2 linked regions of the Anolis sagrei genome follow. The protein of the gene in region 2 purifies or fractionates together with the protein of the main gene of each other region. This does not show direct contact. Links are inferred from orthologs where the notes say so. Each region holds a gene or a part of one and is shown on either strand. Other genes may lie near its edges. The genes, in order: FBXW11 and LPIN2.

What was found.
Region 1: the proteins of LPIN2 (region 2) and FBXW11 purify together in Homo sapiens (affinity purification with mass spectrometry; 4 studies listed by BioGRID and IntAct, with this or other methods). This does not show direct contact. The link is inferred for Anolis sagrei from reciprocal best matches to the Homo sapiens genes LPIN2 and FBXW11.

Annotation. Positions count from the first base shown.
Region 1 is NC_090021.1:141,609,441-141,621,406, reverse strand, and holds the start of FBXW11 (F-box/WD repeat-containing protein 11), read right to left. Parts: upstream 4,854-11,966; 5' UTR 4,704-4,853; coding exon 4,659-4,703; intron 1-4,658.
Region 2 is NC_090024.1:62,059,547-62,071,736, forward strand, and holds the start of LPIN2 (phosphatidate phosphatase LPIN2), read right to left. Parts: upstream 5,139-12,190; 5' UTR 4,915-5,138; intron 1-4,914. UniProt on the Homo sapiens protein: Acts as a magnesium-dependent phosphatidate phosphatase enzyme which catalyzes the conversion of phosphatidic acid to diacylglycerol during triglyceride, phosphatidylcholine and phosphatidylethanolamine biosynthesis in the endoplasmic reticulum membrane.

The sequences.
Region 1 (11,966 bases), on a different chromosome or scaffold from region 2:
TATTTACTGAACATACAATACTAATTTTACATGCTTTTTATGGCACAAAAACTGCTTAAGTAGGAATTGTATTCACACACTCAAATAGTAAAGGTAACCCCAAAATCATAAATATTTATGCTTCAAATTCTTCACATTAAAATGGTGCTTGTATATATGAAAGAATTAATGACTGACAACAGAAGAGTCTCCATGTGATACTTCCAATATTATAACCCCTCCCTTAAGAAAAATGGGAAGTCGTTCACACCTTCCCCACCAAGAGTTGGCAGATTCAGATACTTGTTTTTCCGTATAATGCACATGTTAAACTTTGAAAGCCAAAATAATCTCCAAAGAATCTCAATGAACAAAAGAAACACAATCTGATCTAAATTGCATATTTCACCCTTTTGTAGACAAAGTACAGATCAGAATAGATGCATTTAATAGTTCTGCCGCATTATTTTGTTTATCAACATTTAAAGACTACAATTCCAGGTTCTCAATGCTGTTCAGGTAATTTACAGGTAAGTCAAATATAAAATTGACATTTCAGTTCAGACTTTCTCCATCAGACTCAGGACTTTTACATGAGGAATAGAAGCATCACATTCTATGTAACTGCAGGACTATACAGAACAGCTCTCACACAGAAGCATAGAGATGGAAGAGACTACAAGGGCCATCCAATCCAACTCATTACAGCTATTAGTGTATTTGAAATCACATCTTTGTAACAAAAAAAGGAAGGAAGACCTTAGCTAGCTACATGTCTACATATTTAAGTAGGCAAAGGACTACAGCACACAGCCATGTAACCCAGAATATCAAGGCAGATAATCCACAATATTAGCTTTGAATTGGGTTATCTGAATTCACATGACCATATAATCCAGTTCAATATGGATTTTATGCAGCTGTGTGGAAGGGGCCACAGACTACATTTTAATAGAGAGGTGATGCTATCAACAGAAAACCGAAGTACTTTTTAAACCAACTGAGGGTCCTTCCACACTGCCATATAATCCAGAATACCAAGACAGATAATTAACATGTTCTGCTTTGAACTGGATTATCTGAGTCTACACTGCCAGATAATCCAGTTCAAAGTAGAAAATCTGGAATTTATACATCTGTGTAGGAGAGGCGCAAGTCTCAGCATCTCCACACTTAGAGAAGCTCCCATTTCACTTTAGTCTAAGAGAAATGCAGAGTGCAAATACAATAAAAATAAACAATACTTTTAGAATTAATCTCAGTATTTAGCCAGTTCCCTATTTTATCCCAGTCTGGGAAAAAGGTAAGATGCAAATCCAATAAAATACATAATATTTTTAAATAATAATAATCTTAGTATTTAGAGCATTCCCTATCTTATCCCAGGGTCCTATAACACACAGCCATATAACCCTGAATATCAAGGCTGATAATCTACAATATCTGCTTTGAACTGGATTATGTGAGTCCAAACTGCCATATAATCCAGTTCAATGTAGATTTTATACAGCTGTGTGGAAAGGGCCACAATCTGAACAAAAGGTGGGATATTGATCCAATAAAAGAAATAATATGTTTTCCACGTTAATCAATGCTTTCTGGGTGCGTGGGCGTCTTGCGACTTTCAGCCAAGAAGCAGGAGGCAGTTTGTTCTTCAGAACAATGGTCCCTTGCGGTTAGGAAATCGACAGGAGGAAACGCTGGGTTTGGGAAAGACTGCCTGGGGCAAGGAGGATTCTCATGCAATGTAGGAGAAGGTATACATTGCATATTGGGAGGCTCCTTTATGAGGTCCCTTCCACACAGTTGAATAAAATCCCACATTATCTGCTTTGAACTGGAATATATGGAAGTGGACTCAGATAACCCAATCCAATGCAGATATTGTGGGATTTTCTGCCTTGAAATTCTGCATTATATGGCTGTGTAGAAGGACCCTGAGAGAGAAAGCAGGGTACACAGGCTCTCAAAGATCATTCAACCCATCCAAAAGGGGAGAGAGGAACCCAAACACTTGCCTAGGCAGCTAAGGGTCCTTCCAAACAGGTTCTATATTCCAGGATCTGATTCCAGGTTGTCTGTTTATTCCAGATTATGTGGCAGTGGGGACTCATAAAATCCAGTTTAATGCAGAACCTGGAATTAGATCCTGAGCTTGTCTGGGGGCCCTTCCACATAGCAATATAACACAGAAGATCAAGGCAGAAAATCCCACAATATCTGCTTTGAATTGGGTTATCTGAGTCCACACTGCCATATATTGCCAGACTGTTTATTGGATAGTATAAATGTACTTGGGCCTTGTTAGATCACATTAGCCCACTTAACAACTTTGGCCATCCAATCTATCCACACATTTGTGAACCTTCGTGTTGTTTTGATATAGTAATTCAGATTTTTTTAATGTTCAAGTTCTGTTATAACTTTCAATTGATGTTTTATTTAAATTACATGCTTAAGTTGCCCTTGGGGTTATCTTGGGTTTTTATATTCGTATTTACTTTTATTGAGGCATTGACTGTTTGCCTTTTTGTGTATTGGAATCTGCCTGAGTCCCCCAGGGGATATAGGGCAGAATATAAATAAATTATTGTTATTATTATCATTATTATTATTCCAGTTCAGAGCAAATAATGTGGGATTTTATTCAGCTGTGTGGAAGAGGCCTTAGTTCCATCCTGAGAAGCACTCACAGACTGGGCCAAGCTGGGAAGATGACAAAGGTCCGGATATGGAAAGGAGCTCAAAGAAGCCCCACCCCCTTCTTTGGGGGACACTGGGGCTTTGTGTGCTGAGCATCCTTTCTCAGGCAAGTCCAGGTGGATGTCACCTTCAGTCCTTGGGGATGTAGGGAAGGCAGTGAGATGGAAGGAGGGGGCCGCAGGGAGCTTTCTCTTTTGTCTGAGGGCCCACACAGCCATATAACCCAGAATATCAAGGCAGAAAATCCCACAATATCTGCTTTGAACTGGGTTATCTGAGTCCATATTCAGATAATGTGGGATATTCTGCCTTGATATTCGGGGATATAGGTCTGTGTGTAAGGACCCTGGGTTATCTGAGGGCCCTTTCAGACAGGCCCTATATCCCAGGATCTGATCCCAGGTTTCTTGCTTTAAAATGGATTATATGAGTCCACACTGCCAGATAATCTGGAATAAGCACAGATCCTAGGATCAGATCCTGTGATTTAGGGCCTGTCTGGAAGGACTCTAAATCCACACTGCCATGTAATCCACAGCCCTTCAACACAGAATATCAAGATAGAATAACTCACATTATCTTCTTTGAAGTGGAATACCAGCGTCCACACTGCCATATATCCGAGTCCAAAGCAGATAATGTGGGATTTTATTCAGCTGTGTGGAAGGGACCTCAGTTCAAGGTGGGATTTTATTCAGCTGTGTGGAAGGGGGCCCCAGTTCAAGGTGGGATTTCATTCAGCTGTATGGAAGGGGCCCCAGTTCAAGGTGGGATTTTATTCAGCTGTGTAGAAGGCGCCCCAGTTCAAGGCGGGATTTTATTCAGCTGTGTGGAAGGGGGCCCCAGTTCAAGGTGAGATTTTATTCAGCTGTGTAGGATGGGCCCCAGTTCAAGGTGGGATTTTATTCAGCTGTGTGAAAGGTGCCCCAGTTCAAGATGGGGTTTTATTCAGATGGGCCCCAGTTCAAGGTGAGATTTTATTCAGCTGTGTAGCTTGGGCCCCAGTTCAAGGTGGGATTTTATTCAGCTGTATGGAAGGGGCCCCAGTTCAAGGTGGGATTTTATTCAGCTGTGTGGAAGGGGCCCCAGTTCAAGGTGGGACTTTATTCAGCTGTGTAGAAGGGACCTCAGTTCAAGGTGGGATTTTATTCAGATGTATAGAAAGGGCCCCAGTTCAAGATGGGATTTTATTCAGCTGTGTGGAAGGGGCCCCAGTTCAAGGTGGGACTTTATTCAGCTGTGTAGAAAGGGCCCCAGTTCAAGGTGGGATTTTATTCAGCTGTGTAGAAGGGACCTCAGTTCAAGGTGGGATTTTATTCAGATTTATAGAAAGGGCCCCAGTTCAAGGTGGGATTTTATTCAGATTTATAGAAAGGGCCCCAGTTCAAGGTGGGACTTTATTCAGCTGTGTAGAAGGGACCTCAGTTCAAGGTGGGATTTTATTCAGATTTATAGAAAGGGGCCCCAGTTCAAGGTGGGACTTTATTCAGCTGTGTAGAAAGGACCTCAGTTCATGGTGGGATTTTATTCAGATTTATAGAAAGGGCCCCAGTTCAAGGTGGGATTTTATTCAGCTGTGTAGAAGGGACCTCAGTTCAAGGTGGGATTTTATTCAGATTTATAGAAAGGGCCCCAGTTCAAGGTGGGATTTTATTCAGCTGTGTGGAAGGGGCCTTTGTCTGAGAAAGAGGCCAAACTCTTCTTCCTCCTCGGGAGAAAAGAGGAGCCTGTTTCGAGGCGGCCCCTTTAAGAATCGCCTTCCGACCAAAATGGAGAAGGGGGAGGGGGGCGCGCGCTCCCTCCCTCCAGCGCGAGACCCCTCCCCCTCCTTCATAATGGCGGGGGCTACGGAGAGCGGCGAGGCCCAAACCGAGGCCTGCCGCACCGGCTTGCCTGCCTGCTTCCTTCCTTCCAATCTTTCCGCGGCCGCCTCCCCTCCCCCACTCCCTCCCTCCTCCTCCTTTTTCCTCACTCACCATCAGCTCGATGGTCTTGTCCTCAATCACCGACTCCGGCTCCATGGCGTCGGCGGCGTCGGTGGGAGCGGCTCCTCCGCGGCGGGCCGGTGGGGAGGGAAGGACCCCCGTAGTGACCCCGGGCTTCCTTCACTCCAAAGAAGCAGGGGGAGGGAGGGAGGGAAGAGGCCGCCGCTAGCGCCACTGACTGACCCGCCGCCGCCGCCTCCTCCGCCTCGGCCGCGCGCCCGGAAGCGGAAGTGATGTAGTAGCCCGGGCGTGGTGGCGGTTGCAGCAGTGTCGTCGCCTCCTTTCTCTCAGCGCCGCAGCGGAGCGGCAGCCCTTCCTGCCTCCCTCCCTCTCTCCCTTCCCTGTCAAGGCGGGCTCTGCGCGTTTCCTAGCAACGGTGGCGAGAGGACTGCATTTCCCAGCATGCCAAGGGCTGCTTTTGGGCTGCCCGCCCGCTCACTCCGCGCCATTTGCGGTGGAACTTGCTGGAAGGAGGAAGCGGCCGTTGCTGCAAAGCGGGCCTCTCCGCCGCCTGGCCTCGGAGGAGGAGGAAGAGGCCCGTTGTCCCGGTGAGGGAAGAGGAGCGGGAGTTGGCGTTTTCGCCACAGGAACGCAACACAGGCAGAAAACAATGGGAAATCGGATATTTCAACGCAGCCATAAAACCTTGAATATCAAAGCAGAAAAATCCCAACATATTTGCATGGAACAGGGTTATCTTGAGTCCTCACTGCCATATATTCCAGGTCAATGTGGATTGCATACACGTGTGGAAGGGACCATATATATACACACATACATATGTGTGGAAGGAGCCATATATAAATGTGTGTGTGTGGAAGGGGCCATATATATATATATATACACACACAAACAGATGTGTGGAAGGGACCATATATATATATGGAGAGAGAGAGGATCATATATATATATATAGATGTGTGGAAGGGGCCTTATATATGTATATACACAGATGTGTGGAAGGGACCATATATATATATATATAGAGAGAGAGGACCATATATATATAGATGTGTGGAAGGGGCCATATATATACATATATACACACACACAGATGAGTGGAAAGGACCATATATATATATATAAGAGAGGGGGGACCATATATATAGAGAGATGTGTGGAAGGGGGCATATATATATATATATATAGAGAGAGAGGACCATATATATATATAGAGATGTATGGAAGGGGCCATATATATACATATATACACACACAGATGTGTGGAAGGGACTATATATATATATATAGAGAGAGAGAGAGAGGACCATATATATATAGATGTGTGGAAGGGGCCATATATATATATATATATACACACACACAGATGAGTGGAAGGGACCATATATATATATATAGAGGGGGGACCATATATATAGAGAGATGTGTGGAAGGGGGCATATATATATAGAGAGAGAGAGAGAGACAGAGAGGACCATATATATATATAGAGAGAGAGAAAGATGTGTGGAAGGGGCCATATATATATGGTCCCTTCCACACATCGGTATGCAATCCAACATTGACCTGGAATATATGGCAGTGTGGACTCAGATAACCCTGTTCAAAGCAGATATGTTGGGATTTTCTGCCTGTGGAAGGGCCCTCAGGTAACCCTGGTCCTTTTAATGCTCTCAACACACTCTGGGAGACTACTACAGACACCATATAAAGCAGTGGTATTCAACCTGTGGGTCCCCAGGTGTTTTGGCCTCAGAAATCCCAGCCAGTTTACCAGCTTTTAGGATTTCTGGGAGTTGAAGGCCAAAACATCTGGGGACCCACAGGTTGAGACCCACTGGTTTAATGAATAATACTATATAAGGCCCTTCCACACAGCCATACAACCTTGAATATCAAGGCAGAAAATCCCAACATATCAAGGTTGAAAGTCCCACCATATCTGCTTTAAACTGGGTTATCTGAGTCCACACTGCCATATATTCCAGTTCAAAGCAGAAAATGTGGGGTTTTATTCAGCTGTGTGGAAAGGACCTCAGAGCATAACTTGCCCTTCCACACAGCTGAATAATATCCCACATTATCTGCTTTGATTGGAATATATGACAGTGTGCACTCTCATAACCTAGTTCAAAGCAGATATGGTGGGATTTTCTGCCTTGATATTCTAGTTTTTATTTATTTGGGAAATGGTTGCCTTTGTCAAACAGACTCATGGATGTTTACAACCACATAGAAACATGCCATTTATTTATTTACAACATTTATATGATGCCCTTCTCACCCCAATGGGAACTCAGAGACTATAGAATAGACTATTACAACTAACCCAAATACAGGGTGAGGCAGCATAACTTCCTTTTTTCAAAACTTAATAAAACCCATTGTATGAATTAGATTTTTTTTATAATGTAGGCGCATACCTAAAGTTTTGTTTTACGTAGTTTTGAAGATCAAATTAGGTAGGTGATGTCCCCCATTCTCCATACACTGAGTAAACCGATTCCTAGTGTTTGTCATGACTCTTGCCAGCATAGCAGGCATTATGTTGGCAATGTCTTCCTGGATGTTGGTCTTCAAATCTTGTAGGGTCCTTGGATGGTTCACATAAATGGGATTTCAAAAAACCCCATAGAAAAAAATCACAAGGGGCCAAATCTGGAGAGCGGGCCAGCCACTCCAAATCTGCTCAAAAAGTAGGCCTCAATGGCAAAAGCATGCTCCTCACTGTTCCAGCGCATGATGGCGACTGAACTGTATGTTGTATGACCGAAAGGTTGCCAAGGATTGGTGCAATGTCTCTAACTGACCTGTGAATCGTAGAATCCTGAAGTTGGAAGAGACCTCATGGGCCATCCAGTCCAACCCCCTGCCAAGAAGCAGGAATATTGCATTCAAAGCACCCCTGACAGATGACCATCCAGCCTCTGTTTAAAAGCCTCCAAAGAAGGAGCCTCCACCACACTCCAGGGCAGAGAGTTCCACTGCTGAACAGCTCTCACAGTCAGGAAGTTCTTCCTAATGTTCGGATGGAATCTGCTTTCTTGTAGTTTGAAGCCATTATTCTGTGTCCTACTCTCCATGTCTCCTCTCAGCCTTCTCTTGTTCAGGCTAAACATGCCCAGCTCTTTAAGCCGCTCTTCATAGGGCTTGTTCTCCAGACCCTTGATCATTTTAGTCATGTTGCATTGGAGTATTCCAAGGAATGTAGATGCTGATGCAAGCAGTGATAATTTAACAGTTCACCCATTCTGGTGAATTAATACAGTCTGAGCCCACTTTAACTATCACGGCTCAGGTGTACTTTGGCTCTTTTTGGCAGAGAATGCTGAAGACCTTATGAAACTGCAACTGCCCAAAATAATAAATGTCTCAAAGAAATAAAAGAACCCTATTGGTAGATCAACAACACAGATTGAGTCGCCTTCGGGCTGAGAAAGGCGGGATAGAAATATCATAAATAATAAATACATTTGACATAAAAAAATCCTTAGTCCTGGAATATCACCACTGATTTTTGTGTGTGTCAGGAGCGACTTGAGAAACCGCAAGTCGCTTCTGGTGTGAGAGAATTGGCCGTCTGCAAGAACGTTGCCCAAGAGACGCCCGGATGTTTTGCCATCCTTATTGGAGGCTTCTCTCATGTCCCCGCATGGGAGGCTGGAGTTGACAGAGGGAGCTCATCCGTGCTCTCCCTGGATTTGAACCTGCGTCATGTCGGTCTTCAGTCCTGCCAGCGCAAGGGTTTAACCCATTGCACCACCAGGGGACCCCTCAGTGGAGGAGCCCCCGATCACCACTGATTAGAGTTATAGATCTAAAAAAAAATCCAGAGAACCTTAAGACAACTCACAAAGGACATGGAAAGAGCTGGAGTATTGTGATATTTCAAGACTAAGTATTGTTTTAATGTTTGTATTGTGCGTATTTTACAAATGCTGTTAGCCGCCTTTGACCCTTCAGTAGGTAAAGGTGGGATAAAATTGCCTAAATAAAATAAATAGATGATTGTATAAATAAAGTTTCTAGAAAATATAACAGAAATATTTAAACAGAGTAGAATATCTTGGTATAACGTTCAACAATTGGATTCACAAAATAAGAATTAAATCAAACAACCTGGGAAATGCAGACAGTTAACAAAATTTGAAGAATTAATAATACAGTTAAAGCAGAATGGTACAGATGAAGTAGCCAAAGGACAAATAGGTAAAATTTATAAAATAATGTTAGAAAGTGCTCCAATACAATTCAAAACAAAAAAAATAAATGGGACCTAGGAATCAATATTACAGAGGAGGAATGGTTAAATATTGGAAACAAGAATTATGAAATATATACCCATTAGAATTAAAGAGAACAGTTATAAACAATTTGGAGATGGTATGTGATACATGACTCCAATAATGTTACATTAGAATAGAAACAACCTACAAAATTGTTGGAGATCCAATACGGAAACTAGGACTTACATACATTTGTGGCGGGAGTGTGAAAAGATAAAAAATGGGATAAAGTATTTGTTGAAATTAATGACACGATCGCTTAATCTACAAAAACTTCCAAATACTGCAATCTATTAAATTTTGGAGACATGGGAATAAAATGGCAAAAGGTAGAATTAATACTATTTTTTTACTGCTTTAAGATTAGTTATAGCCAAAAATGGAAATAAAATTATGCTTACAATATTGATGATTGATACAAAGAGGTGTGGAACATTGCAATAAACACTAAATTGATATATTGGAATAAAATGTACAAAGGGATTAATGAAGAGAAATTATTTTGAGGTAATATGGGGCGAATTCTCATAGAATATATATTTGTCAAAGAAAAAGGAATAAAACCAAATCAACATACACTGGTATTTTGGAGAAGAGGTCAATATAAGAATAATTAATATTAAAGATGAATATATGCCCCATGGGTGGGTGCACATAGAGATTACATGTATAGAAATATATGGTTAATTGTTTAACTGATTTATTGTATGTTTTGTGGTAAAGTTAGTTGTGTGTGATTTGTATAATTGCTTTATTATTTTAAAAACTGGGTTGGGGGGGGGGGGATTGCAACTGCACTGAGCCATGGCAGTCAAAGCGGTGCCAAACTGCATTCAGTCTACAGTGTATGCCTGGCCTTGGGCCCTGTTAGCCACACCTGCTCAAGGGAGCTACTCTTCCAACCCTTGTTTAAAGTGACTGGCAGCAGGTTTCCAGGCAGGAAGGGGCCAGTGGTTTGCAGCACAAACCTTTCCTTTGTGCTGCAAACGAGCAAGAGCTGCCTTACACACACCTTGTGGCATAGTTCTGTTTTTCCCTTCCTTTTTGATAGGCCTGAGGGAGCTAATGCAGGTTAAGTATCCCTTGTCCAGAATTCCAAATTGAGTTTCTTTCCAAAAGGCACCAAAAGACAAAAGAGGAGAGGGGGAGAGAGAGTTCTAGGCAGCAACACATTGTTGGTTAGGAGTAGTACAGGCAGTCCCCAAGTTACAAACATTAGACTTGCAAAACACTCATAGTTAAGAATAGGCTGAGAACAGGAAGTGAGAGAAATCTATTCCTCAGGGAAATTCACTCCTAAAAAAGTTGTTATCATGGGGAAAAGTTGTCTCCACTGACGCTTTATCGCCAATCCTTGTTTACACAACAACCCAAATTTTTAAAAATCCAATAATCATAGGGACAGAAAATGAAGTGAAATCTTCTGAACGGGCACAGACAGCAAAACAAACACCACAGGGGTATTCACCCTTCTTTCTGCTATTTAAAGCTTTAAAAGAATAAACCTATCTTCTTCATAACTTGGGAATTGCCTATATATTATGCGCAGATCAAAAACTAAAAATGTAATGTACAGGGTTTGGCAAATTGCATTTCGTAGCCAAAGAGTGCACATCCTCAGCACGTTTTTTCACCGGTATCTGTAAAATTTGTTCAGATGGATTTGGTACCATTTGGAAACAAACACCACAATTGTCCACATGGCTGAGATTGCGATACCTTTGCTTTTTAATGCATCAGTGTGCACCAACTGTTTCATGTACAAAATGATTAAAGCTATTGTGTATAAAATTGCCTCCAGGCTATGTACATAAGGTATGTATGGATTCTCAAAGAAATTTATGGTTAGCCTTATGTCCCACCTCCCCAAAAAATTCATCATGTATAGATAGATATGCCAAAATAGGGTCCAAAGCATTTCAGATAAGAGATTCAACCTGTATCAGATTATGGACTTCGGAATTTGTCTGTTATCTACATAGCTATACTTGCATTTATCAGAAAGCTTACTTGACAGAATACTTTCCAGATAAGACAGATCAGATTTCAGCTTTCCTTTTTCTCAGGGTTTTCATGGAAAAATACTTCCAAGTTCAAAATGAGGAACAGATCAAATATATTGTCCTTTACCCACCCATTCCAGAAATATTGCCCTTCTAGATGGCACTCCACTGCCCCCACCAGGCTCTTCCAGACCTATATTTTAGGGTCTGAACCTAAAAAAAATCACCAGCTGCAGTCTTTTCAACCAGAAGTTCTGTAAAAGGAAGAGAATCCTCTCACAATAGTCAAATATAAATAGGTCATGTTCCTGTAATATATTTTGCTGAAAGAACAATTTCCTACAACAGTAATGACCTTGTCAACCATTTAACTGATACAATGATTTTTCCCTCTAAAAATGTGCAATTTTTTTCAGGGAGCTAATGCAGTGTAATAGGGGGGGGGGGAGATTATATACAGGCTTAAACCCACTTATGAGAAGCAACACATTCCCATTAACTTTGCTAAAACACCAGTTGCATTTAATGGTTATGTTGCCATTTTATCAAGTTACTTCAAGGTCCTGATAAGAAATGTAAATGTAAGAATATGTGCTTGTGTGTAACTTTTCCTTTAAAGTGGTGGTGCTTGAGGCAGTGGTCCCTGGACCAGCTCTAGTCCCTGAGCCTTTGGTTATTTTTCTCTATTGAGCTATCAGGAAAGAAAGAAACAATTACACCCAATGGACTTCTCTAGGCCTCACAATAAGCATGAGATTTTTTTTTTTTAAAAAAAGTTTTCAATAAATATTGCTAAGGAGTCAGTTACACAATTTTTTTTCCTAAAGAGACATAAAGGATGGTTCTGTAATCTGAACAGAATGTCCCTAGATGTTGCCTTTTCAGTGAGCTCAATAGGTAGCTTAAGGCAAGCTGTTCTTCCAACCTCAATCTATAAATACTTAAATTGAACACTTGATAAAGTATAGTTTACATTTACTATTATCAAGCCTAGTTTGTTAAAATGGTAGAGAGGGAAATTGCAAAAAACACATTGTTAAAAGACAGAC
Region 2 (12,190 bases):
GAATCCCTAATTCAGAGACAGAGAAAGAGAGATGTAAAGGCGTACCACATCCAGAATTCAAATAGTTATTGGGGAGACTTGAACTGTCCACAAACCAGATCTTGGGGCTTTACCTCACTAGTAGATATTTTAACCATTTCAGCTTCCTCTTGTGATTCATTCCATGAGCCAAGCACTTTCTAGCCATGCAGTCTAAATTCCTTCTACTACCAGATATAACAGAACAGGTCAACTTGCTACAAGACCTTGTGAATGAACAAATAGAACCAAGCACACAACTACAAGGCATGGATCACTAGAATATTTATGAAGTCTAATGTAGCATCTGAAAAAGAATTATGGTAAAAATTAACAAAATATTCTTTTTCAAAAATGTTGAGCATGCATATACCATAATTAAGACCCCTGCCTGCAAGTGTATAGCCAGCCTGCCAAGCATTTGTGACACCATTAACCAAGATTTCAGAAAACTATTACAACATACTTGTTCAACAGTATATTGATTAAAATAAAATTCAACTAAAAAGCAATCATCATAATCTTGTGAATGGTTTTTAAAAATAAAGGTATCTTATTAAAAACATAACTGATTAAAAACAATTTTAAAATATTTTAAAGTCACACTAAGGATAGATGTACAATTTCTCCCTATTAAAAACCCTTCTATAACAACCAGTCCACAGTCCAGTCTGTGTAAAAAGGGTATTTTCTATTTCTGCACTGGGGGGGGGGGGAGTCAGTGCAATCATAGATTTTATTTGGAAGAGACCACAATGATCATTTATTCCAGTCTCCTGTCATGGAGGGGGGGGGGCTCTGGGAAGGTACTGAACAATACAGAATCATACTGAAAAGGCTCTCCCATGGGTGCTCACAAAGTATGCCTGTCAAAGTGATAGGATAGAAAGACAGCACTGCTCTAAGGATCTTCAAGCTCGTGTAGGGAGTAACAGTCTTTCAGAAAGTCTGAACTCAATTAATAGTTATTATACAAAACTAGCACATGAAACTGCCTGAAAAAACTAGCAATCAGTGATGCTGCTGCAACAAGAGGATTTATATATTCATTGTAATTAGCCCAGATAAACACTTCAACTAGAGTATTTTGAACCAGTTGAAAGTTCCAAAGGCAGTCGCACAAAGAGTACATTACAATAATCAAAATAATAAAGCAAGAATCACCATAGCCATATCTGACATCTGCAATGAGATTTATAATTGGTGTCCTAGTTTCAAGTGTGGAAAGACATCCCTGGTCACCACTGAAATTTTGGCATCCAGGCTCAAGGAGAAATCCAGTATGTGATTTTTGAACCTGAGATTTGGGGGGGGGGGGGGGGAGTAACCTCTTCCAGGCTGCATCTCTGTTCCCCAATCTGTTTTGATGGAACAACATCACTTCTGTCTTGTCTGGATTAGGTTTCAATTTGATCACCCTCGTTGACTCAATTACTGACACTGATTTAGGATCAAAACATTTCCTTGAAACTGGATGAAAATAAGACAGAGTTTATTTATTTACAGTATTTCTATATCGCTTTTCTCACCCCTAGGGGGACTCAGAGTTGAGTGTAAACCATAATCTTATGCCATAAACCTAGTTAATCAGAACTTGAGCAACTGGAACTCTTAAACAACCAACAAAAATCAAAGGAACAATCCTTTTTATAAAATCAATTTTTAGCAGAAATATTAGAGCAAATTAAATTTGTCTTTATTTGCTTTTAATTACTGTATTGGAGCCCCCGGTAGCGCAATGAGTTAAACCCTTGTACCAGCAGGACTGCTGACTGAAAGGTCTGCAGTTCAAATCTGGGAAGAGGGGTGAGCTCCCCTCTGTCAGCTCCAGCATCTCATGTGGAGACATGAGAGAAGCCTCCCACAGGATGTTTAAACATCCGGGCGTCCCCTGGGCAACGTCCTTGAAGACGGCCAATTCTCTCACACCAGAAGCGATTTTACTGTATTTCAATATTAATATCAAGTCAATACAGAGTTTATGGTATGACATAGTATTAGCTATTTTAATATTATCTCTCAAGTAATCAGAAATTTCATTTAGCCAATTGCTACCAATCTCCTATGGGTGCCGGTTAACTAAGAGACTACTGTACTTTAAACCAAAGCGGTCCAACTAATTTTTTTATCAACGACCACATCAGCCTTACGGTTGCCTTCAAGGGGCTTTTGCATCCATGGATGGAGAATCTGTGGCTACATAGGGCCAAGTATAATATTTTTACATAGTGATCACTGTTCTTTAGCTTTTATCCTGTTTAGGTCCCCAGATATTACTGAACAACGATTCCCATCACTTTTGTCAAGTGACTGGGTAGAATGGGACAACCCAAAAGCACTTGTGGCTCTGAGGTTGTGCAAAAGATTAAAGGCCAGCCAAAGCTGTGTAATGACATTAAAACCCCAATATCCTGACTGAACACACCAAAATGCAGCATTCCAGATGTGACTGTATCACAACTCCCATCAGCTCTGGTCATGATGTCTAATGATGAGGAAAACAGGAGTTGTAGTCCAGCATCTGGAAAGCCACATAACATGAGATGGAGGGCCAGATTCTTCCTGCGGACCTTGTGTTGAGCACAGTCATGGGCAAACTTGGGCCCTCCAGGTATTTTGGACTTCAACTCCCACAATTCATAACAGCCTACCGGCTGATAGGAATTGTGGGAGTTGAACTCCAAAACACCTGGAGGTCCCAAGTTTGCCCATGACTGTGCTCAACACAAGGACTTTAAATAAACAACTGCTGCCCCAAAAATACTTGTGGGAAAAGGGAAAAACACGAAAGGAAAAGCCATGCACACATAACCCAGAATATCGAGGCAGAAAATCCCACAATATCTGCTTTGAACTGGGTTACCTGAGTAACTCAAGCCTCTGGCACTGGTTCTCAACCTGTGGGTCCCCAGATGTTTTGGCCTTCTTTTCCCAGAAATCCTAACAACTGGTAAACTGGCTGGGATTTCTGGGAGTTGTAATTAGGCCAAAACACCCAGGGACCCACAGGTTGAGAACTACTTCATGGGACCCAGTCCTGATATTATACCCTCCAAAATGTTCACAGAGGAAAACTGGGGCATAACATAAGATTGTGGACAAGATTGCAAAAGTATTGAGACTGCAGTAAGGCCGAACAGGGCATAGGGTTACAGCCCATGTTGGACGGGGTTAGACTCCCCCTTAAGACGCAGATTTGCAGCTTGGGTGTGATCTTGGACTCGTCGCTGAGCCTGGAACCCCAGGTTTCAGCAGTGACCAGGGGAGCATTCACACAGTTAAAACTTATGCACCAGCTGCACCCGTACCTTGGGAAGTCTGACTTGGCCATGGTAGTCCATGCTCTGGTTACATCCCGTATAGACCACTGCAACGCTCTCTACATGGGGTTGCCTTTGAAGACTGCTCGGAAGCTTCAAATGGTCCAGCGTTCGGCAGCCAGGTTGCTAACAGGAGTGGCACTCAGGGAGCATACTACTCCTCTGTTGCGCCAGCTTCACTGGCTGCCAGTTTGCTACCGGGTACAATTCAAAGTGCTGGCGTTAGCCTATAAAGCCCTAAACAGTTCTGGCCCCACTTACCTCTCCGAATGCATCTCCTCCTATGAACCGACTAGGACACTAAGATCATCTGGGGAGGCCCTGCTCTCTGTCCCGCCTGCATCACAGGCGCGCTTGGCGGGGACGAGAGACGGCCTTCTCAGTGGTGGCCCCTCGGCTGTGGAATGCCCTGCCTGCAGATATCAGATCGGCCCCCTCCCTGCTGGCGTTTTGGAGGAAAGTGAAGACCTGGCTGTTCGAACAAGCATTTGATTAAACAGTATAATTGAACATAGGAATACAGAATAATGGATGATGAGACTGGATTCTGATTCTACTGTTGAGGTGCTAATTATTGTTATACTGATGTTTAATTATTTATGTTACAATTGTTTTTAATTGCCCTGTACTTGTCTCGTGATGTTTTGTATCGATGTTGTTCACCGCTTTAAGTCGCCTGAGGGCTGAGAAAAGCGGTATAGAAATAAAGTAAATAAATAAATGCAGTAGTTTGCTTTTGCCTGAGCCTACTAGAAATGGCAGGATTCCACCCCTCTCCTCCCCTCCTCCTTCAGCACCGAGATAACTGAACTCAGTTTACAGCAATTGAAATAAACAAATGACAACATTTCAGAGTGGCTACAATTATTAAAGAAAAAGAGGTTATGAGCTAGGATAGGCAGGGAACATTTGTTTTTGCCTGAGCCTACTGGGAACTGCAAAATTACACTTTTCCTCTCTTCCTGAGATAATTGGTACTTTGAGATCATTTTTCAGCAACTGCAGTAAGCTGAGGACAAAGAATGAAAGTAGAAAGAGGAAAGAAACTGGGACATTTTAAAAGCAACTAAAATAGGGTAATAAGGAATTAATAATAGGTGCCCCTGCAAGATTGGGAGAGTTTGAGGGCTCTTTCTCACAGCCATATAACCCAGAAAATCAAGGCAGAAAATCCCACAATATCTGCTTTGAACTGGGTTACCTCAGTCCACGCTGCCATATATTCCAGTTCAAAGCAGAAAATGTAGGATTTTATTCAGTTGTATGGAAGGGGCCTGAGAGAACAGAATCCTGAAGCCTGTGAGAGGCAGGGGGGAGTGAGGGTCCACACACACAACCAAGCCTCCTGGCCCTCAATGGCTTCTCAACAGTCCACACAAAACCAATGAGGTGAAAAATGAAGGGTCAGTCAGTGTCCCGCTGTCGTCCCTCAGGCAGCGGCAACAGCATCCCTTTTTGTGACGCCCAGCCGGCCCGTCCCCGAGACCAGCCTCACCCGCCTCTCGAAGCCACAACTAAGGAGCCTGTGGGACCGAAATGCCATGAAGGAGAGAGCCAATTCCTCGCCTAACCTCACCTCGTCGTTCCTTGCCTCAGTCGGATGGAGCTGCAGGGGGGAGAGGAGGGCGGCCAGGAAGAGGAACAGCAAGAGGAGCAGCAGCCGGCCTCCCTCCTTCCCTCTCTTGAGGCGCCGGCTGAATGAACTGAACGGCAAGGCTAAGGCAAGGCAAGGCGGCGCGCGACGAGGGAGGGGGAAGGTGACGCACGCGAGGAGGTGCCGGCGCGCGCACGCTCGCACGCGCTCAACGGAAATTCCTCTTCCTCCTCCTCCTCCCTCCTCCCCCCTCCCTTCTTCGTCCTCCTCTTCCTTGTGTCAACGTTCAGAACCTTTGGTGGATGGCATGGCAGCGAAAGAGCGAGAAGGGGAGCGGGGGGAGGTTTAAAGAGGGAAAAGCCAAGCCCACGTGACCGTAGAGGAGGGGGAAATGGATGGATGGCTGGCTGGATGGATGGAGGCGGCGTTGTGCGCGTGCCCACCCCCTCGCGCTCTCCGCTCGCGCCCGGTGTTCCAAGCACCCCCCCCCCTCCTTCTCCCCCTCTTCCTCTTCTGTTGCAACGTGGAGCGAGCCGGGCTAATTAGTGGCTGCAGCGGCGTCACAGCGGAGCTTCTCCTTCCTCTTTTTCTTTCTCTCCCCTCCCCCCCCCCATTTATATTCTAAAGGCCCTTCCAGACAGGCCCTATATCCCAGGATCTGATCCCAGGTTTTCTATTTTAAACTGGATTATATGAGTCTACGCTGCCAGATTTATTTATTTTTGTCGTGTCAGGAGTGACTTAAGAAACTGCAAGTCGCTTCTGGTATGAGAGAATTGGTCGTCTGCAAGGACGTTGCCCAGGGGACACCCGGATGATTTTGATGTTTTCATCATCCTTGTGGGAGGCGTCTCTCATGTCCCCGCATGAGGAGCCGGATCTGATAGAGGGAGCTCATCCGCCTCTCCCCGGATTCGAACCTGCGCCCTGTCGGTCTTCAGTCCTGCCAGCACAGGGGTTTAATCCACTGCACCACCGGGGGCTCCTATGCTGCCAGGTAAACTGCAATAAACAGAAAACCAAGGCAGTGACATCTCTATCTCATCCCCTGTTTGGATATCAGCCAGCACGTCAATGACTTAAATCAAGAAATAGTTTTCTAAGATCTACAGAGACACTCGCTGGAACACCTCAGCAAGCGAGAGTCCAAAAGTGGCAGGCTCAAACCCAGAACCTCAACCAATGGCTGATACCAAATGAGAGACTGCCCCCTGGGCACACAGAAGACTGGGCAACTTGGAAGGCGCTGAACAGACTGCGCTCTGGCTCCACAAGTTGCAACCTTAAGGAATGGGGCTACAAAGTGGAATCTACCACATGCGAGTGTGGAAAAGAGCAAACCACAGACCACCTGCTGCAATGCAACCTGAGCCCTGCCACATGCACAATGGAGGACCTTCTTGCATCAACACCAGAGGCACTCCAAGTGGCCAGCTACTGGTCAAAGGACATTTAATCAACTACCAAGCTTGCAAACTTTGTGTTTTGTCTGTCTGTCTGTCTGTTTGTTTGTTTGTTTGTTTGTTTGTTAAAAATGCAATGCAACTGTTTGGTCTGCCCCTGACACGATAAATAAATAAAACAGAAAACCTGGGATTACATCCTGGGATATAGGGCCTGTCTGGAAGAGCCTAAGAAAGCTGTGTGCTTATAAGAGAAATCGCAATGTGGAGAAATCGCAATGTGTTTTTTCTGCCCAGAGTCCCCTCGGGAAGATAGGTACGGGATATAAAGTTTTATTGTTGTTGTTATTCATTCGTTCAGTTGCTTCTGACTCTTTGTGACCTCATGGACCAGCCCACGCCAGAGCTCCCTGTCAGCCATTGACAACCCCAGCTCCTTGAAGGTGAAACCAGTCACTTCAAGAAAACCATCCGTCCATCTTCCCCTTGGTTGGCCCCTCTTCCTTTTTCCTTCCATTTTCCCCAGCATCATTGTCTTCTCCAGGCTTTCCTGTCTTCTCATGATGTCTGTTTTTTTTTCTTTTTCTTTTTAATCTGTGTGTTTGTTTTGTTCTGTTAGAATTGTAACATAATGGTATGGTTGCTGATGACACGATAAATAAATGATGTGGCCAAAGTACTTCATCTTTGCCTCTACTATCTTGCTCTCCAATGAGCAGTCGGGCTTTATTTCCTGAAGTATGGTCTGCTTGGATCTTCTCGCAGTCCAAGGCACTCTCAGAACTTTCCTCCAACAGTTCAAAAGCATCTATCTTCCTTCGCTCAGCCTTCCTTATGATCCAGCTCTAACATCCGTAGGTGACTACGGGGAATATCATTGCTTATTCTATCCAGATCTTCGTTGCCAGTGTGATCACTCTACTTTTCACTATTTTATCGAGATTGGACATTGCTCTTCTCCCAAGAAGCAAGCGTCTTCTGATTTCCTGGCTGCAGCCTGCGTCTGCAGTAATCTTTGCACCTAGAATAGAGTTTATCAACAGGTGTACGTTTAAGACATTCTGTGATTATTCTGCATATTTCATCCAATGCTATGTTCACCTGCTTTGCGTGGGAGACTTATGCCAAACAGGGCAGGCATACTTACTTAGGCGATCCCTCGTTGGACGAGTAAGATGGTCTTCCATCATGGGTTTCCTTGTGGGTCCGTATGTGGCTGTGGAGCCCTATTCTTGCTCTGCATCTTCTTCCGCAGTGAGGGCATTGGTTTCCAGGTGGAAGGCGGTCCCGGTCGGGGTTGGCTTGACGCGCCTTCCTCCTGGCACATTTCGCTCTTTCACCCTCCACTCGTGCCTCCTCAAATTCTGCAGCACTGCTGGTCACAGCTGACCTCCAGCTGGAGCGCTCAAGGGCCAGGGCTTCCCAGTTCTCAGTGTCTATGCCAGAGTTTTTAAGGTTGGCTTTGAGCCCATCTTTAAATCTCTTTTCCTGCCCACCAACATTCCGTTTTCCGTTCTTGAGTTCGGAGTAGAGCAGCTGCTTTGGGCATCCAGACAACGTGGCCTGTCCAGCGTAGTTGATGTTGGAGGACCATCGCTTCAATGCTGGTGGTCTTTGCTTCTTCCAGCACACTGACGTTTGTCCGCTTGTCTTCCCAGGAGATTTGCAGGATTTTCCGGAGTTAGCGCTGATGGAATAGTTCCAGGAGCTGCATGTGACGTCTGTAGACAGTCCACGTCTCACAGGCATATAGCAGGGTTGGGAGGACAATAGCTTTATAGACAAGCACCTTGGTATCCCTACGGATGTCCCGGTCCTCAAACACTCTCTGCTTCATTCGGGAAAATGCTGCACTTGCAGAGCTCAGGCGGTGTTGTATTTCGGTGTCGATGTTGACTTTGGTGGAGAGGTGGCTGCCAAGGTAGCGGAAATGGTCGACATTTTCTAATGTTACACCATTAAGCTGTATCTCTGGCATTGGAGAGGGGACGGCTGGTGACTGCTGGAACAGCACTTTGGTTTTCTCGATGTTCAGCGACAGGCCAAGCTTTGTGTATGCTTCTGCAAAGGTGTTGAGGGTGGCTTGTAGATCTTCTTATGTATGCGCACAGACGACATTGTCATCAGCATACTGGAGTTCTATAACAGATGCTGTTGTGACCTTGGTTTTGGCTTTCAGTCTGCTGAGGTTAAACAGCTTGCCATCTGTCCGATAGATTATTTCCACTCCGGTGGGAAGCTTCCCATCAACAAGGTGAAGTATCATAGCGATGAAGATGGAGAATAAAGTTGGAGCAATAACACATCCCTGTTTGACACCCGATTCCACCTTAAATGGGTCACTTTGGGAGCCATTGCTGTCCAAGACTGTTGCCATCATGTCATTGTGGAGGAGCCGCAGGATGTTCACAAATTTGCTTGGGCACCCGATTTTTTGGAGGATGGTCCAGAGAGCGCTGCGATTCACTGTGTCGAATGCCTTTGCAAGGTCGATGAATGGCATGTACAGAGGTTGATTTTGTTCTCTGCATTTTTCTTGGAGCTGTCGTGCAGTGAAGATCATGTCCACGGTTCCTCTGGAGGGGCGGAAGCCGTTCTGGGATTCTGGGAGGGTGTCTTCTGAGAGGGGCAGAAGGCGGTTTGCAAGGATTCTTGCGAGGATTTTCCCAGCAGAGGTTAGAAGGGAGATACCTCGATAGTTTCCGCAGTCTGTTCTTTCCCCTTTTTTGAAGAGGGTGATGATGGTGGCATCCTTGAAGTCTGCTGGGATTTTCTCGGTCACCCACACTTTTTCTATGAGCTGGTGGAGTTGGTGTGTCAGCTCGGGTCCTCCCTCTTTAAAGATTTCAGCAGGGATCCCATCTGGTCCGCTGGCTTTGTTATTCTTTTGTTGGCTGATGGCATTGCTGACTTCTTCCAAGCTAGGCAGTTCTGCAAGCTCATCTCTGGTTTGTTGTTGCGGGATTTGTGAGAGGACCTCTTCGGCCACATTGGAGCTGCGGTTTAGGAGGCTTTGGTAGTGTTCTTTCCAACGTAGTGCAATTGACTTTTGGTCCTTCAGGAGTTTGGTTCCGTCTGATGAACGTAGAGGCTGTATGCCATGGTTTCTTGGTCCATAGATGACCTTTGTGGCTTTGAAAAATCCTTGAGCATTATGGGTATCTGCCAGGTGTTGGATTTCTTCAGCCTTCTTTGTCCACCAGATGTTTTTGAGTTCTCTTGTCCTTCTTTGGACCTCAGCTTTTGCATTGACGTAGATCTTTTTCTTAGCACCACAGTTGATGTCTCTCTGCCATATTTGGAAGGCTTTCCTTTTCTTGTCGATTAGCTGTTGGATCTCGATGTCATTTTCGTCAAACCAATCTTGATGTTTCTTGGCTTGGTATCCAATAGTTACTTCGCAGGCTTGGATGATGGAGGTCTTCAGTTTGTTCCAATGTTCCTCAACATTTTCGGGGTGTACTGTGGGTAGATGGTCCTTGAGTGCTGTTTGGAGATGAGCTCGTCTGGAGGGCTCCTGAAGGGCTTGGGTGTTCATTTTGCGCCTTGTTTTCCTTCCTTGGAGTCTGCACTTGGGAGCGATCTTGATAGCCATCGTGGATCGGATTAGCCTGTGATCGGTCCAGCAGTCGTCAGCACCTGTCATGGCTCTTGTGAGGAGCACGTCACGGCGGTCTCTGGCACGTGTGATTACATAGTCTAAGAGGTGCCAGTGCTTTGAAATTCTACTGTCAGCTGGACACCGTCCTATCGGGGATACCTAAGGAGGACAAAATCATTCTCCTGGGGGACTTCAATGCAAGAGTCGGGCGAGACTTCGACCTGTGGCCAGGCACCATAGGAAAAGACGGGGTTGGAAACAGCAACTCGAATGGCATCCTGCTTCTCACCAAATGTGCGGAGCACAACCTTGTCATCACCAACACGCTCTTCCGCCAGAAAAACAAGTTCAAGACATCATGGAAGCACCCCCGGGCAGGCATACTCGGTAGTTGAATAAGACAAGGCTAGGGTTGATGTTCTTATTAATTTTGGGTCTGCACCCCATGCGCTGCAAGTAAGTTTCCACAGGATGTTATTGAGTGCAGCTACTTTGTGCTTGGTGTTCAAGCAGTGTTTCCTATATGCTAGCGTTCGATCTAAGGTGACACCGAGATATTTAGGATGGAAACAATGTTCAAGTTCTTGAGCTTCTCATGTGACTTTCAATTTCCTGTTGGCTTCACGGTTGCATAGATGGAAAGCACACACTTGTGTCTTGGCAGGGTTAGGCTTCAGGTGGTTATCTTTTCAGTAGCAGGAGAGATCTTTCAAGGCATTAGTAAGTTGGATTTCAACTTTTTCAAAATCCATTAAAACATATTCAAAGATAATATCATATTGTGATCCAGAAAGGCATTGGGAAGAATGAGTCTGGATCCAACTCTAGGCATTGCCTTCCCCCTCCAACCAGCCTGCCAAATATACAGATAGATTTCCATCAAACTCACCCTGCAGGGTCACAACCAAAGCAGTTGATATCTATCCCTTGGGCCAAATCCCCTTTGCTTTTCCCTTTGGACTTTTCTTCTTCCAGAGGGATCCAATGTCTCCTCCAAACCTCAACTTTGCCTCCTTCATCTGAAAGGGAAGGACGCCCTCCTTTCCTCAAAGGAAAGCGGCAACACGACAAAATGAAAAATCATCCACCCATTGTCTGTTTCTTCATTATCCTTATTGATGGAGACAACCACGTCACTCTGGGTCCCTTGCTCCAGCCTTAACTTCCATGGAACATTCAGGTGGAAGAGACCCTACGGGCCATCCTGTTCTGCCATGAAGGAACACACTGTCAAAGCACCCCTGACAGATGGCCATCCAGACTCTGCTTCAAAACCTCCAGAGAAGAGGACACCATCATGCTTCCAGGCAGCAGGGTCCGCTGTTGAACAATAGCTCTTATTGGCAGGAAGCCCTTCCTAATGTTTAGATCAGTGGTTCTTAACCTGTGTGCTGCCAGTAGTCAGCAAGGATGAAAATCTGGTCCACGAGCCTCTTTTCTCTTTATTATTTTATTTTATTTCTGCTCCTTTTGTGTGGCCTATCACTGACCACGGCATATGTTCTTATCAGAAACTAGAACTGATATGGGTATCCAATGCAAATTTCTGAATCTGCACCCCAAGCCGAATCTAAAAACTGATTCGTAACACTTTTGGTACTAATGTTAGAGAATGGTCCCTGGTCAAGTGGTCCCTGGTCAAAAAAAGATTTGGAACCACTGGTTTAGATGGAATCTCTTCCTGCAATTTGAATCCATTGCTCCTAGTCTAGAGAAAGCAAGGCTGCCTCCTGCTCGATGTGACATCCTTCCAAATATTTGAACATGGCTCTCAGCCTTCTTTTCTCCCAAGCTAAATAATGGAAGTCATGAAGAAAATAATGGCCATATTGTTCTAATTCTTTTTACTCTTCTTTCTGAAACCAAAACAGCATTGGTCTTAAACTGGTGCAAGGAGGGTACTGCTAAATCAGGCTTGGGCAAACTTAGGCCCTCCAGGTGTTTAGGCTTCAACTCCCATAATTCCTAACAGTCTATCGGCTGTTAGGAATTGTGGGAGTTGAAGTCCAAAACACCTGGTGGGCTGAAGTTTGCCCATGCCTGTTTTAAATGTTTCTTACCAGCATTTTTACCTGAATAGCTATTTGGACTTGGTTGAGTAAATAAATATATTCCATTAAGGAAGCTGTGATGAACTTGTGAGATGCTTCCTACAGGAAGAGTAAATTAGCAGCTTAATGTGTTCTCATTCTCTCCTTCCCCCCAATGCAAAATCAGCGAGTTCCTCTTCTTTCACAAGAAAAAGAATCAAGCT